3 linked regions of the Nothobranchius furzeri genome follow. The protein of the gene in region 1 binds, or shares a complex with, the protein of each later gene. Links are inferred from orthologs where the notes say so. Each region holds a gene or a part of one and is shown in the gene's direction. Other genes may lie near its edges. The genes, in order: snrpd1, lsm3 and strap.

Region 1 (5,064 bases):
ATTTAAGTCGTCAACTAAGTTTAAAAAGTTTATGTTTATTTATTTGGCAGACGCTTTTATCCAAAGCGACGTACGATTTATTTAACTTGTAGGGCGTGTTGTGATCTGTGGGGGAAACCCACGCGTGCGCGGGGAGAACACGCAACTCCACGCAGAAAGGCCGCAGCCGAGTTTCGAACCTGCAACCTTCTTGCTGCGAGGCAACAGTGCTAACAGCTGCGCCACCGTGCAGCCCACAAGTCGACGAAATTCATTTTATCATCTCTGAGCTGTTTACCTTCATTTTCAGTCACTTTAGGTTTATACGCTTTTAGCATATCGGCGTTCACACTACAGCATCGTTTGACTCGTATTTATTAGCTGCTTTAGAAATAAATCATTTATCATCACTTCCTTATTATAGTGAGGATCTTCTTTTGGTGTGTGTGCCTTCTTTAGTTTCTATTTGTTAACATTGTTTTTTAAACACGCTAAATCAAAGTTTAAAAGCCTAAAACATTTCATGGCGCAGCGGCCCGACGTTTAACCCCTTTATCTGAATGTTCACGTCCAGCTGACCTTTGATTTTATTTTGTTGGACGTGTGACTTCCTGTTTGAGCCCCGCTGTAACGTTTACAGGAGAATAAAACACGACTGCTGATCTGAAGATCGATTACTCAGTTGCTATGGTTAAGGTGGAGAGAAACCCCAAAAGGACATTATCTGTTTCCACATGAAAGATTTCCAGGAACACGTGCTCACCTGCTGTAATATTTCATGACTTCTGTTTTAAACCACTGCATAATTAGATTTTCTTTTCTAGAGTTCAACAGCAGATGCACTGAGTCGAGACTTTTTCTGCTCCAGAATATTAATAACGTGTTGCGTCAATCATGTGCAGGCAACACACAGAGAGGATGACGGTTTTATTTATTTTTATTATTATTAGAAGTGGAATAATGCTGAGTTTAATGGCCTTGTGCCGTTTTTCTTTTTGTGCTTCACACTTTATGATTTATTGGTCTCAGCCTACATCTTTGGAATAAAAAAAAGCACTCTCATTGATTATACTTGATACATTCCCAGCAGGTCTCAAGAAGACAGATTTGATGTGTGGCCAAATCTCTTAAGTATCGGTGCAGAGTTTACTCTTAATAAAATGAGCTGAAAGTGCTGCTTTGTGGTTTTATTCAACTGCGACAAGTTCTCTGAAGTTGTCTCCTGATCTGTTGAATGAATTAGGTCTTGATCAGTTAGGGTTAATTGTTGTGGATATTTTACCTTTTTTCATCTTCCAGATTTTGATAAATCAGTAAAAATGTAAATTTTACTACGACTTTAACACATGTTGCACATAAACACCGTTTTGACCTTTTGGTTGCAAATTCTGCAGATCACGAATCCAGCAGTAGGTAACGGTAGTGATCTTCCTAAATATTGATCATTTAGGGATCTTTGTTTTGGATATTTGACCTTTTAACTGCCAGATTCCAATAAATTAGTAGTAAAATAAAGATTGTGGATTTTAACACTACTGTAAAACATGTTGCACAGAAAAATAAAACAAAAGTGTTAGAACGGATCACAATTCCACCAGTAGATGGCGGTAATTACACCCCCTCGTCTTTGTTGTCGCCTTTTAGTGACGTCACATCCCTGAACGTTTCGAATACAACAGCGGCCTGTGTTTTCACTCGATCGCTGTAATTTTTGTCTTCGGTGGAGGATTTTTCTCTACTGTTTTCCATCATCATGAAACTAGTCAGGTAGGCGGCAGCGGGAGGTCCCGGATTAACCGGAGAATTAACGTAAACTGATCAAATGAAAGTGATGTGGCCGGATGGATTGGGATTTGATTAAACGGTGATGAGGCGGGAAGTGGAAAAATGTAATGGATCCTGAGCGACGTTACGGCGACCGCTGAGGGTTTAAAACACGTTCCTACGCACAGTTTTAATTATCAACATAGATGAACGTCTACTTTAAGTACATTTCTATTTCAATAAGTAAAAATATTAGGCTAGACGTTAACTCATTCAACCGTTGTAGCATTAGCTTGTCAATCAACTAAAGCGGCTCAAAATGGGGTTTTAACATAATTTGTTAGAGTTCATTTTGTAAATATTTAGTTTAGCTGTTAAACTGGTGGATAATCAGTGTTTTTATTGTTTCAAACGCTTTAAAAGTCACCTAATAGCCATCGGTGGCTAACTAGATAGCTAAAGCTAAGCTACTATCTAGCCTCTGCGAGAAATGTCCCAATTACGTTGTGATGTTTTCACTCAGTCATCGTGTGCAATGATGCCCACAGGTTTTTGATGAAGCTCAGCCATGAAACCGTAACCATTGAGCTGAAAAATGGCACCCAGGTTCACGGCACCATCACAGGTGAGCTCATAAAGGTGGTCAGATAAGCCAGGAGTCAGCTGAAGCTCTTTAATTTCAATACTAATGACATATATTTGTATGCATTAAGTAGATTAATACCCACAGCTGTGCTTTCATCCTCATAGTCAGACTTTAGTACAGATAAATCTGCACAATGTATGTTTTTGTATTATTTAATCCTATTTGATGGGATTTTTTTATGTTTAACAAACCCTAGACAAGCACACACACAACCTGCAAATTAAAATATTTTCTAATCTGTAAAATTAATCCTAAACTCAAGTGCCAGATGTACTTATGGCTGGTGTTTCATCCCTCCTCTCTGTTTTTCAGGTGTTGATGTGAGCATGAACACTCACCTGAAGGCGGTAAAAATGACCCTAAAAAACAGGGAGCCCACTCAGCTGGAGTCGCTGAGTATCCGCGGCAACAATATTCGCTACTTCATCCTCCCAGACAGCCTCCCTCTGGACACCTTGCTGGTTGACATCGAGCCAAAGATCAAGTCCAAGAAGAGAGAAGCAGGTGAGAAAGGTGAAAATGCATAAGATATGTTGAGTTGAATTTTATCTTAAGGTGTTTTTTTTAGAAAGTGAATCTGAATTCTCCTTTGCGTGAACAAAAAGGTTTTCACAGTGATGTAACTGGTGTGTTTGCACAGGTTTCTGCATGGGTTTATATTAAAAGAACTAAATTGTAACATTAACTGTACGACATAATTTAAGGAGTGGTTTAAAGGACCAGATGCTAAATGAGCAATATGGTGTTTGTGACACTTGTGCTGATGCTGCTCATCTGTCTCCTCAGTGGCTGGACGGGGACGAGGCAGGGGACGGGGACGTGGGAGAGGAAGGGGACGGGGACGAGGTGGACCAAGGAGATGATCGCAAGGCTGTTCTGTTGATTCCTAACACTTCACTGTTTGTACAGGATTTTTTTTTTCCTTTGCTTCATTAAAGCAGAAACGTTTTGTGAATTTCTGTGTGCTTTTTAGTTGGACTTTTTTTTTTGTACATTAAACTTCTGGTTAAGAGGACAAATTACTCTGACTTCTTTGTGTTGGTTTTTAATACTGAATAAAGTGTCAGCACATAAACTAGCATCATTAACTACTGTGTTGTCCCAATCAGATCCCAATGCTACTGGTGTACTAGCCAGCCCCACGCTTCCTTGTGTATAAAGTTACACAGATGAGTCTGGCAGGCCAGGCTCTAAAATAAAAATGTATTTTATGAAATTATTATTTAGTCATCAGACCTTTATCCCACTACAGTTGACAAAATAAAGCAAAACTGTTTATTTAGTCAACTTTTAGGTGCAGTTTCTCACATCAGTTGTGATAATTGGTAAAACTGCACATGTAGGTGGGGGAACGTTGTTTTACATTACACCGGGGACCAAAGTCACCGCTAGATGGCGGTGTAGGAAAAGTGACCTGGTAGATGGTAGCCTATAGGATGGCTTGCCGGGCTAACGTAGAGGTTCGTGGAATGACGTAAATCATTGCCCAAAGCTAGTTATTTTATATTAAACGATCATCTTTTAACATATTCGTCACATGTCGAAGGCACCAGGTTCTTTTCGAGCAGGAGTATTTTTATCACAATGTCTGTGGCTAGCGTCGGCCGTTTCCTGTACTTCGCGTATGGAAGCAACTTATTAAAGGAAAGGCTGCAGCTGAAAAACCCTTCGGCTACGTTCGTCTCTACTGGTCGCCTGAAGGTTTGTTCGTTAAATATGTCGCCAGTTTCTCACCTAAAGTTAGTGCTCAGTGGCTAGCCTGCTAGAGCCTAGCCTGTTTAATTCTACACAGGGAACCATTACAATCCCATAAGGATCACGGGCTGGCGGGTCAGGCTAATAACAGCGGGTCTTGCGTCTTATATATAAATATGTAAATGATAAAATAACCCTACTCGTGACGAAAATTATAATTGTCTGCCGACTTTCACTTCATTAATGAAAATCAGTGTATTTACTTTCATGACCAGTTCAGTTCACTTCCGGGAGGCACGAGACAGTGGCCGTGTCCGAGATGAGCCAGTTCTGCGCAGGTTATTAGATCACCGGTGATCAGCGCTCAGTGCTTGCCGGTGTTTTTTTGTTTTTTTTCGCAGGGCTTGCCGGTTTTTTTACGCTTGGTCACGTGATTGACTTTTTTTAACAAACCTTTATTAACAAAAATAGAATATACAATGTGACAATGAGGTTACAAGCTCACAGTTGACAACGAATAAGAAAAGTGAGATGTGAACAAAAAAAGAAAACAAAGTGCCAGGGGGGTATAAAAAAGGTGGGTGTACAGAAAAATACAGATTACAGTAGCATATATCTATAGAGGACATCAACACAGAAATAGTAATAAATCAGGATCAGATTATCTTAAAGCGGGTACATATTTCAGTAGTCTTTACAGCCTTCTGGTTTTGTGAAAACCGGATAGAGTCCATATAATGCTTGACCTCCACTAAGAAACAGTTAAAGTTGGGTTTGCTTTTAAGAAATTTATATTTATGGCTATGAAATTTGGCCAAAAGAAATAACAGATTAATAAGAAATTTAATAGAGTTATTAAAAATATTCTGGTGAAGGCCAAACAAAACGTGCTTCCAATAAATGTTAAACTTGAAATAGAATTTACAGCAGATGAAGTCACAGAAAAACTGCCAAAACCGTTTGGAATGAGTACACAGTCA
Region 2 (5,586 bases), on another chromosome or scaffold:
CCAGGTAAAAAGCGACAGTTGGTTGACAGCGTCAAATGGACCCCCCTAGGGTCAGTGAGTTCAGCTTTTATTCTCAAAGGAACTGTTGCTTGGTTGGTAAAATGCAACAGATTTTATCCAGCTTGTTGGTTCTCGGCTTAAAAAGGAAGTCCGGATGGCCGGTCCGATACTTCGCTTAGCATGCGGTGAACTCCAGTGAGAGCTTGAGAACTGAACTAAGATGGCGTTGGAACTGGTTTTATTAATCTGGATGTTTTGATTTCTGGTCGAATCAAAGCTGGCAGATTTATAAACACCACAGAGACTATGCCACGCTTCAGAAAGGAAGGTTCTGACTGAATCAGTAACAGCAATGTGCCATGCATTTACATTATGTGTAGTCAGCATGTCTAGTGCACTAGATTAAAGTCATATTACTTATTAAAGCATATTAATCTTAACATTATTATTTCACAGATTGGTCAACATTATATTATTGACTAACACTTTGTTTTGATTAGCTTTTATTAAAAATAGAGTTCTTTGATTTATTAAAAGAAAAGAGTCCTTTATCTTCATTCTTCTCTTGCTGGAAAGAAAACAGTTTTAGAAGTGAATGCATGATCTTGAGGCAGTGTCATGCAGCCTAGTACTGTGTCAGAGGCATCTGTGGAGAGAAAGTAAATAACCTTGGAGGAATAGCTCCTTCATCACGTTACAATGCTTAACTTTCTCACAGCACTGTTGAACTTTTTTATAGAAATCTGCTGAACTTCAGATCACTGAGCCAGAAGGGCATGGAGCTTGCAGAGCAGCCCACCAGTTTCCATGCTCCTGTCCTGTCACCAGACAATGAGTCATACATAAGGGTTTGGATAAAAATAAATAAATAAATAAATCATGTGTCCCAAACTGCACCTGCACACATTTTCTAATGAATGGTTAAAAGCAATAAATCAGTGGAGAAAAACAAGTGATTCTGAAATGCACTGCCAAGTTCTTGCAACTTCGACATCTCATGGGGCTTAAAGGAGATGTACAGTTGGATGTCATCTGCATAAGATGGTTGGAGATTTCTTTGAAGGAGCTCAGGATGTGCTGAAGAGGGAGCAGATAGAGGAGGAAGAGTAGAGCGCCCAGCACAGAACCTTGTGGGACACCATGGGCGAGGGAGGTGGTGGAGGACCCAAACTTGGAGACGGCCACAGAGAAGCACCTAACCCTAACCCTAACCCTCAGACAGATAAGAGGAGAACCACTTCAGAGCAGATCCTGATATGCCTACCCAGTCTCTCAGCAAAGCTGCTGACACACAACCTTCTCCAGAAGTTTCAAATTGAAAAGGAGAATAGAGATTGGCCTGTAATTGTCTGCACAGAGACATCAGATTCTGGTTTCTTCAGGATCGGTTTACTGACTGCAGCTTTTAATGCAGTTGGAACCACTCCAGTGCTCAGGCTGCCGTTAATGATCAGACGCAGAGACTGACCCAAACACGGAAAGGCCTCCTTCCACAGACGAGGTGGCAAAACATCGAGTGGAGAGCTAGACGACTTCTGCCCTGAGACAAGCTTAGACAACTCAGAATAAGAGAGTATTAAAATAGCTCAGGGTGGACTGTATTGGAGTAACTGGATCAGGGTCTGTAGATGAACCAAAAATAGCAGCTCTAATGGCAGAGACTTTGCTAGTGAAAAAGTTGTGAAAGTCATCACATTCTCCAGCAGCAGTAGAAAAAATGATGCCAGAGTCCTGGTACACTGAGACAGAGTTAAGCGTTTTATGGAGAATTTTTGAATTGTTACAGTTTGTATCAATGATGTCAGCAAAATAGCCCGTTCTAGCGACCCTCACAGCATCAAGATCAAGATACTCTAAACATCTAATGGGAGACCTGTAGGTCTATGCCCGTTTATGTGCAGCCTACAGTTACAACAACCGGCGTACAATTTGAAAACAGATCAAGCGGGATTACTAGTAACTTTACAAGCCTACCTCATGGAATTCTATATTTAAATATATTTTAATTTATTTTGTTAAATTATATTTATATTTTAATTATCATGCCATATATTGTATCAGCTTTTGTGAAAAAGCTTGATAAAATGCGTTTTTTAGTTGGCTAAGCACCTTCCTAAGTAGAAATTAATGCAGTGGGGGCGAATGGAGACCCAACTAAGATGGCGGTCGGCCACTACGGCAGCCGTCCACGGGGCGTCTACGTATATATGACTGCGACCTCAGAGCCCATTGAGGCACTAGGCCAGTTAAAGCATCATGGCGGATGAAGTGGAGCAGGTTCGTTTGGTTGCCGTGTTTATACACTTTTGTTCGTTTTAGCGTCTGTGCAGTTGCTTGACTTCGTCGCGCATTATTAACTTTATGCATTTCTTTAATCTAAGGATACAAGCGTAGCATTTTGCTAATTGCTAACACGGTTTAATTGTGTTTAGGCCTGTGAAACCGGTTAGCCCACATTCACCTAGCGTTCAGCTCATCCTAAAATTATCAGTAAGCGCGTAAAAGTTACCAGATTCTCACAAATGAAAGATTAATGAATGACTTTTCCCGTTATGTTTGTCTAGCAAATTGGACAAATAATTAATATTGAGTTTTCTTTAACTATTGTGTTTAGTTATTAACTTTAGTAAGTAACGAGTCTCAACAAACTGTTTGGATCAAAGTTTATGATTTAAAATGAATATTTCTAAGCTGTAATGTGCAATTTAATTGAAAATAAAGATATTAGTGACAAAGATACCATAGTGTTAATAAGTCATGAGACGTTTAATTGGTTTGATCAGTACTTCTGCACACTCTCTTTACATTTCCTATCAGATGGTTTGTTTTCTAAGCCCTGGTCTTTAAAGGCAAGCCTTAACAAAGCTGTACAGACACAACAAAAATGAATAAATAACAATATAAAGACTCAGCTAAACAATGTTTGGATATTAGTGATGCATCGATATAAATTTTTGGACCGATACTGATATCCGATATTAAGATCACTGTTATGGCCGATAACCGATATTTGCCGATACCGATATACACTGACATTAATGCTTCCAAAATCTGCAGATTTTATATAGAATGAAAATTATTAAAGCTGGATTTACATTATTGTGTACACACAACACACACATTTACGCTTCTGAGGTGATTACAATCACTGTCACATGATTAAACAAATACACATCACCCCCCTCACCCTCTGAAACTGATAAACAAATGGAGACGAGATAGAAAAATTAATATCGGCCCGGTTTTATTTATGGGACCAATACCGATATGTTTAAAAATGACTAACATCGGCCGATACCGATATTGATGCCGATATATTGTCCATCCCTATTGGATATTTTTAATCTAGATTTTTAAAAACATTTCCGGTGAGTGTAAAAAAACCGACTAGTTTTGTTTTTAAATGTTTGCTATTTGATGAATATGCCAATAAAAAATGGAATCCGTACATTGATGATTATTTTAATGTGTTCCACAGCAACCACCTACCAACACGGTGGAGGAGCCTCTCGATTTGATCAGGCTCAGTCTGGATGAGCGGATCTACGTGAAGATGAGGAATGACCGGGAGCTCCGCGGTCGACTACATGTACGACACACACACACACACACACACACACACACGGTTCAGAAGATCCAGTTTTTTCACAATACTTGCTGATAAAACAGGTAAAAAAAATAAGACTGAAAATTCTAATGTCAGTAAAACAACTTAAAAGGTGAAACTAATCTATGAGACAGACTCATTCCACGCAAACCCAGATATTTCAGCCTTTATTTGTGATGATTATGGCATTCAGCTGATGAAAACCCCACATTCATAATCTCAGACAATTAGAATATTGTGTTCAGGTAAATATTCTAGTGTCAGACTTTTATCAGCTGATGAATCCAGAACACCTGCAGAGGGTTCCTGAGCCTGTAGATGGTCTCTCCATCTGAGCTTGATTACTGTCATAAATGGACTTTTGCACCATATTCTCTTTTGTCCAGTTTCACCTGTATGTCCTAACTAATGTTTGCCATCTGGTCCAGGCGTATGACCAACACTTAAATATGATCCTGGGGGATGTGGAGGAGACGGTGACAACAGTGGAGATTGATGAGGAGACGTATGAAGAACTTTATAAGGTCAGTTTTTATGAACAAACATAGAAAAACCTCTCTAGCCACATTTCTACTGAACAGCTTTTGTTTTGGACTCTTTGCTGTGTTTGCTTAGTGGCAAACTTGTGCCACTGTTGGGTGATGCTTAAAGATCCATCAGATGCAGAAACGTTAAACGATGTTAACTTGTCACTTTAACATAACGCTGAATAGATCTGCAGAAAGTAATAAAACAGAATTTTAAGATTCTACGAGGTTTCATTATTGTTCATGATCAGAAACTCAAGTTTTATTTAAATTTGACGGTACTTTAGTGAGTATTTAAATAAAATATCTGTTATTTAAATGTTTTTACTGTATTTGTTTCTTTAGTCTACCAAGAGGAACATCCCCATGTTGTTTGTCAGAGGAGACGGCGTTGTCCTCGTAGCTCCGCCTCTCCGAGTCGGCTAAGCCCCCCATGCCTGACAGGATGATGTAACTGCTTCTGGGAAGTGTCCATTTTTGTAGGAGAGTGTTATAAATCTTCATTTTCCTTATGCTAGACTGTTATTTCATCTTTAAATTTCATGTGAATCAGAGGCTCTTCTCTAGGGCAAAATGTCTGAGGGGGGAAAAACCCAGGAAGTATGATGTGAGGACACTTTTTTTTATTTTTTGACACATTCTGGGATTGTAAGAATCGGCCTCAGTAGATACTATTATTTTTAGTAGAAAAACATTTTTCTGAATCTTATCAGTTCCGATTGAGTCATTCCAGTGTTTATAAAGACTCGGGTCCCCTTGTGAGCGAAATGTTTGTTAAATTGCTCAACTTTTATGTTGATTTTTAGCTAAATGATTGCATTTGAGTCCCAGAACATTCTTTTTCTTTTACATGACGTTAGTGTTTTATGATTTAGTCATGCTCAGGTTTGAAAATTTTGTTTTTATGTGGTTGAATAAAAAGTGAAAATAAGAAAGTTATACTTTTTATTTAATTTTTTTTTATTCAACAGTTTTTGGCATACAGAGTCGTAGAGGCTAAAGCCTACAGGTATTTCACATTAAAAGTGTAGAAGACTGAAAATATTTTTTAATGAATATTTCTGATCCTAATGGGTCACTCTGAGTGTTTCATGCAGGCTGAACATGAAAATGGTCTCCTACACCTATCTCCTGCATTAGCTTCTGATAGAAAACAGACAGTGAAACTCTAGGATTAGAAAATCCTGACAGATCCATGTCACACTGTCACTTAACATTCATGGACTCACCCATCTGGACTCACGATGGGGAAGATAGTTGGTTTAGCATCCAGGAAACAGCAGAGCACATCTCAGCTAGTTAAAAGCTAATCATTAGCAACTCCGCCACACAGCAGTACTCCTCCAGGCGTGTGTTATTTGTGGAGATGAAACATCAGCATTGCAGAGCAGAGTTGGTGGCCCAGTCTCAATACTCACACCCTGTGGTCTTCAGCAAAGTGCACTTGGAGAA
Region 3 (5,586 bases), on another chromosome or scaffold:
GCTATATCAAATACAGGCCATACCATTTGATTTAATCCCTTTTCTTCCCATCAAAATAAACAGAAACTAGTTTAAGTTATTAAACTGGATAGTAGGCTACATAGCACTTTTTTAAGGTCATAAAGCAGTGCTCTTCAACTCTTGTCCTCGATATCCAGCGTGTTTTTATTGTTTCACTGTGTGGCGATTGCATGTTTCTGTTGGACACTTGTAAAACAGTCCGGATATTGCAATGTAACTCTTAGAGACACTCACTTTTGAACTAGGGATACTAGCACCGAGTGGGAACCCCCCCCCCCCCCCCCCCCCCCCAAAAAAACTACTCTTGAGAGATAAGCTAATATTTATTAAACACATAAATAAACACACACACATCTGGGGAGGGATTTTCACAGACTCTGGCATTCTCCGTTCTCACACCTGAAAGTCGGTGAAGAACATCTGTTTTATTCTGCCAGACCCATAGGTGCTATACTCTTCTCCAAGGCCAGATTAATGCAGAAACAACTTTATTGTATTTATCTATTTGAACTAAATTAATTAATACACATGACCTGCTTAGAGGCTTGATGGTCTTCTGAACTGGTATCAGCCATCAAATCAGGTGTGCTGGAGCAGGGAAACAACTAAAACATGCTGGATGGAAGAGCTCCAGGACCAGAGATTGAGAGAGCACTGCCCTGAAGACACCAGGATGTAAATCATTTGATGATTAATCCATACGTGTTTCTATTTCTACAGTACAGAATATTGCTATTTTTACCTCCACAGACAATGTTATAAATGTGGCAGGGTGGAGAAATGAGGGCCCGGGCGGGATTTGATCCCCAGGCTCCTGGGTGAGAGTCACGCACTCATACCAGTCAGCCAAAAGGACATCCCCTATGTCAAGTAGCCAGGGCACATGATCAATCGTGACACTGTGACAGGACACTCACACTGTCACATACACTGATCCTTGAAATTAAAGTTTTTGAGACATAAACAGCAGACTGAATAAATACCTGATATAATGTAGTAGGTGGATTAGAACCAGACTGGGTTATTTTGTATTTAAAGTGTAAAATCTGGATCCAACAAGCTTATTATGGGTCTCTGACTTCATGGTTTTCTACTGTAGCCTGGCCTGCCATACTCCTCCTCTGTTTAATTCTGCACAGAGTCTGGCAGGCCAGGCTAGTCCTACTGTAGAAAAAAAATGAAATGGGGAATATGAAAAACTGATCAGACTGTTTATAATACCGGGAAAATATGATATATGTATTTTGAGAACTAATAATAATAATAATAATAATAATAATTATTATTATTATTATTATTATTATTACTGACTACATTAATGCATATTCTAATACTGCTGTGTCTAAACTTTATTTTTCCTGCCACTTTATTTCATTCCAAAGCAGCACAATTCATTCCTGCAATATTCCAATTTTAAATCCCAGTTTTCCAGACTACAGCTCAAACAGCTCCCACTCCTTCGCACAGTCATATATGTTCGCCAGAAGAACGGGAATGTTGTATCTCTGTCGAGAACTTTTAATCAGACTCAGCTTTCAGCTGTGTGCGCTTTACCAAATGACTCTGACAATATGGCGGCGACGGGTCGCACCGCACGCTTACGTTACGTCAACTCTTTTACTACACTGTCACTGTGACGCTGCAGTGCACGTTGCTAGTTAGTTGCAATGTTGTAGCTATTAGCACGACAGCCATTCTTTTGCTGGGGGAGAGCCGACATTTGGTCAGAATAACTTTGAATTCTCGGCTGTTAAAAGATTAATTAACAGACAACGGCAGGACGTTACAGCTTTGATAACAACGCGCCAATTAGACGTTTCGTATTCCTCGGCTACTGGTTAGCCGACCTAGCTTGTAAGCCAGCCGTTAGCGACCAGCTAACTCTTCCTCTTTCGGTCTTCTGTCCTCTGTCCAGCTGGAGGAGCATGGCGATGAGACAGACCCCTCTCACCTGCTCCGGTCACACCCGGCCTGTGGTGGACCTGGCTTTCAGTGGAATCACTCCTTTTGGCTACTTCCTCATCAGCGCCTGCAAAGGTGAGTCCTCAAGCCGTCCAAATCCAAGGTGCTGCCCTGCTCAGGATCTTCATTTACCTGTCTCACTCACACAGACTTCTCTCACTTTGGTCCCTGACTTACCTGCGCCTCAAAAGAAACTTTGTAACGATTTATTTCAGATGTCTTTTTTTATGAAAATCCTATCTGCATTACTTGAATCACCTCAGATGTGTTCAGTTCACGATCTGGTTTCATTCTTTGAAGAATCACATTTCTTTCACAACTTTATATAAATACAAATTTGTCATCGTGTAGGAGTTTTCCTCTGTGTTCACCTACTTGTTTCCAAGCAAAAAGTGGAGATAATTTTTACCTGAAAAATTCTCTTCCATTACAAAAAAAAAAAAAAAAAAACAGTAAAATCATCACCATTCGTCTTAGGCTTCCCTTTCTGTCAGAATAGCCATATGACCCTCACCAAGTGTTCTGTCAGGGAGTGAGGGAAACGGGAAGGTGAATACCATGGCGAAAGTAATAAGCTACTGATGGTTACCATGGTGCCCCTAATAAGCCTCTGCTAGCAGCTTTAACATTTGTTGAGTTTGGTCCTCTTTACACATTCTATATAATTTAAGGCAGTGGCTGTTTCTCAGTGCTTAAGAGGACACTGTCCTGCAAGGATTAAAGAAAACGGTTACATGGAACAGACTTATCTCACGTGACCCGCCATCACGTCATGTGACATGTGAGGTAAAGTTAGATTTATATATATGTATAACTAGCCTTTAACTTTTTTAAATTATGTATATATTGGTTAAATTAAATATGTAAGCAAGTTACTACCCGCTTGCCACCGAATCTGCAACTGCAAAGCAACTGACCAACCATAGATAATTGCTTTGAATCTAAAAAAATATTTCAGATATCAGCCTGATAGCTACAATTAGTTGACTTGCATTTAAACTGGAAATTTGCCCCTGAAGTAGCTGCCGGCTCCTGATCCGCCATTCATTTGAAAATACTGTGGTGTATTCTGAGAAATGTTTCAGTCAGAGAAGGCAACAAGACACCTCCCATGTATTCTCAGTCAGTTAGCTAAACGGCGGACAAACGAAGGACAGACGCCTCTGTAGCACATGAACATTGGAACACGTCTTGGCGGTTCCTGATGACGTATCTCTTAGGCAACTGGGCTGGGACCAAGGCATCAAGGCGAGGTTCCTTGACCTTGAGAAACACCCAGTTTCTCAGCTCAGATTAATACAAAACTGATTTTTAACATTTTACACCAGCTGCTTGAAAGCCACTCAATGTCTTGAGAAAGTTCATATTAATGATCTTTTCATGGGAGTTTTAACAAGTACATCACCATCCCCTTCTTCCTTTTGTTAGATGGCAAGCCCATGTTGCGCCAGGGAGACACAGGGGACTGGATCGGAACGTTTCTGGGTCACAAAGGTGCGGTTTGGGGAGCCACTCTGAATACAGACGCCACCAAGGCAGCCACAGCTGCTGCAGACTTCACAGCGTGAGTGGGGTTCAGCTCTCGATGTAGAGATGCATGATTTGAATTTTGTTGGAAAATGCACTTTTTTCTTGTTTTTAACACTCTTAAAACGTTTAGCTGTAAAAACAAGTTGTCTTTTATTAATAATATATTCTCTTTCTACTCCCCTTCACTCACACACTCTGCAAATGTGCGTTTGGACTCATTGAGATTGTTGGACATACATATTTCAAAAAGGAAGTAAACTGAACCACTGAAAAAGAATTTCACTATCCCATTTACCAGACAAATCATAGCTTCTTAACTTTTTTCTTGTTCTTTATGTGTTATCTTAGAAACCTCAAAACAGAAAAATACAGCAAGTCACTTGGTGCAAGTGGTGCACCTAGGTGAAAGAAGATCAACTGTTACAAAATGAAAAAAAAAATACAAGATCACTCACAATCTCCCTCAACCTTGGGCTCCATGCAAGATCTCACCTTGTGTCATAAAAATGATCTTGTTTTCAGAGTAACTCTTAATTTTAACATTTCAGGAAAAAAAAAAAACGTGTTTAAATCATGCTAAAATTCCCACCAGCAGCATCCTCAAAGTCCTGGTGAAGAAAAACGATCTGTTTTGCATGTGTTTTAAAAAAAAAGAAAACCAACCTTTCTTTGTTTCTGTTACGTGTTTTCTATTAAATGTTTAGTTTCATTTATTCGATAAACTACTATACATCTAGCCTAGAATCTAGAAGACAGTCATTTGTCGAAGCAAAATAATTGTGCATATAGGATGGCTTGCCAGGCTACTATAAATCTATAATGGTGAACATTTTGCTTTCCAGGAAGGTGTGGGATGCCGTAAGTGGAGACGAGGTCCTCTCACTGGCACACAAGCACATTGTGAAGTCTGTCAACTTCACTCAGGTCAGTTTTGCTTAGCATCAGCATCCTTCATATGTTAATTCAGGTATTTTACTGCTCATTTTTTTCACAGATGCCTTTGTACACCAACACCAAGATCAAAAAGTGGGAGCCTCCAGGGCTCACACCTATTTTTAGTTACCAAGTGAATAATTTGTTCAACACATGGATTAATCTGATGATTGATTAAACACATCTCCTCAGCTAATCATTGTTCACATCCTTACAAAATAAAACACTTGTGGGTTTCTTTTTCTATTCCACAGGACAGCAACTGTTTGCTAACAGCAGGAAATGACAAGCTGCTGCGTATTTATGACCTCAGCCAACCTGAAGCACGTAAGGCTACACACTGCTGGCTAGAAGGCGGGGCCAAACACTTCTGAACAGGTCATAGACATCAGATTGCTGTGTTTAGAGTTACTATGGGTTTTAATTAAAGAAATATGGTTTACACTAATCATAAACATTAGTGGAGTTACTTACCCACCCACTCAGTCACACACACACACGCACACCAAAAGAATACTAGATGTGAGCCAACACTTTTTCCTTTAACACTTGTGTGTTTGTTCCAGCTTCACAGGAGATTGCAGGTCACAGTGCAGCCATAAAGAAAGCTCTGTGGTGTAACAATGACAAGCAGATCCTTTCTGCTGCTGACGACAAAACCATTCGGTTAGTTTTTCTCCTGGATGCTTTGTAGAAATCTGATTTCTTTGTCCCGCTTTGGTGGCAGTTGTTCATGTTGACCTTCTGACAGTTTGGATCATATAAACTCTGTGTGTGTGCCCAGGCTGTGGGACAGGAGCTCCATGCAGGAGGTGAAGATGCTGACCTTTGAGACGTCTGTGAGCAGCATGGAGTACATGGCTGATGGGGAGTTGCTCGTGATCACCTATGGGAAGACGATAGCTTTTTACAATGCTTTGAGGTATGCAGTCAGATAGAGGTTGACTGATGTATTGGGTCAATATTTACCATTTGTAATACATCAGCATCAAGCAATATACCTTCTTAGTAAAGCCAATTTAGAAAGAAAGTAAGAAAACAATCTGTTATACAGTGCCTCTCAAGATAAAAATCGTGAAAAGCTTCACAAAAACACACAAAAAATTTAAGTGTTAAGTATAAAAAATATTTTAAAAAATG

What was found.
Region 2: snrpd1 (region 1) and lsm3 share a complex: the UniProt entries of both Homo sapiens proteins name them as parts of the U4/U6-U5 tri-snRNP complex. The link is inferred for Nothobranchius furzeri from reciprocal best matches to the Homo sapiens genes SNRPD1 and LSM3.
Region 3: snrpd1 (region 1) and strap share a complex: the UniProt entries of both Homo sapiens proteins name them as parts of the SMN-Sm complex. The link is inferred for Nothobranchius furzeri from reciprocal best matches to the Homo sapiens genes SNRPD1 and STRAP.

The regions. Positions count from the first base shown.
Region 1 is NC_091759.1:18,893,553-18,898,616, reverse strand, and holds snrpd1 (small nuclear ribonucleoprotein Sm D1), read left to right. Parts: upstream 1-1,608; 5' UTR 1,609-1,732; coding exon 1,733-1,746; intron 1,747-2,291; coding exon 2,292-2,368; intron 2,369-2,701; coding exon 2,702-2,902; intron 2,903-3,175; coding exon 3,176-3,252; 3' UTR 3,253-3,477; downstream 3,478-5,064. Other genes in the region: gamma-glutamylcyclotransferase, read left to right, coding at 3,974-4,090. UniProt on the Homo sapiens protein: Plays a role in pre-mRNA splicing as a core component of the spliceosomal U1, U2, U4 and U5 small nuclear ribonucleoproteins (snRNPs), the building blocks of the spliceosome.
Region 2 is NC_091743.1:73,196,969-73,202,554, reverse strand, and holds lsm3 (U6 snRNA-associated Sm-like protein LSm3), read left to right. Parts: upstream 1-2,190; 5' UTR 2,191-2,256; coding exon 2,257-2,277; intron 2,278-3,478; coding exon 3,479-3,589; intron 3,590-4,035; coding exon 4,036-4,131; intron 4,132-4,479; coding exon 4,480-4,560; 3' UTR 4,561-5,069; downstream 5,070-5,586. UniProt on the Homo sapiens protein: Plays a role in pre-mRNA splicing as component of the U4/U6-U5 tri-snRNP complex that is involved in spliceosome assembly, and as component of the precatalytic spliceosome (spliceosome B complex).
Region 3 is NC_091741.1:63,716,281-63,721,866, forward strand, and holds the start of strap (serine-threonine kinase receptor-associated protein), read left to right. Parts: upstream 1-1,651; 5' UTR 1,652-1,946; coding exon 1,947-2,058; intron 2,059-3,411; coding exon 3,412-3,547; intron 3,548-4,355; coding exon 4,356-4,437; intron 4,438-4,700; coding exon 4,701-4,773; intron 4,774-5,012; coding exon 5,013-5,112; intron 5,113-5,230; coding exon 5,231-5,368; intron 5,369-5,586. UniProt on the Homo sapiens protein: The SMN complex catalyzes the assembly of small nuclear ribonucleoproteins (snRNPs), the building blocks of the spliceosome, and thereby plays an important role in the splicing of cellular pre-mRNAs.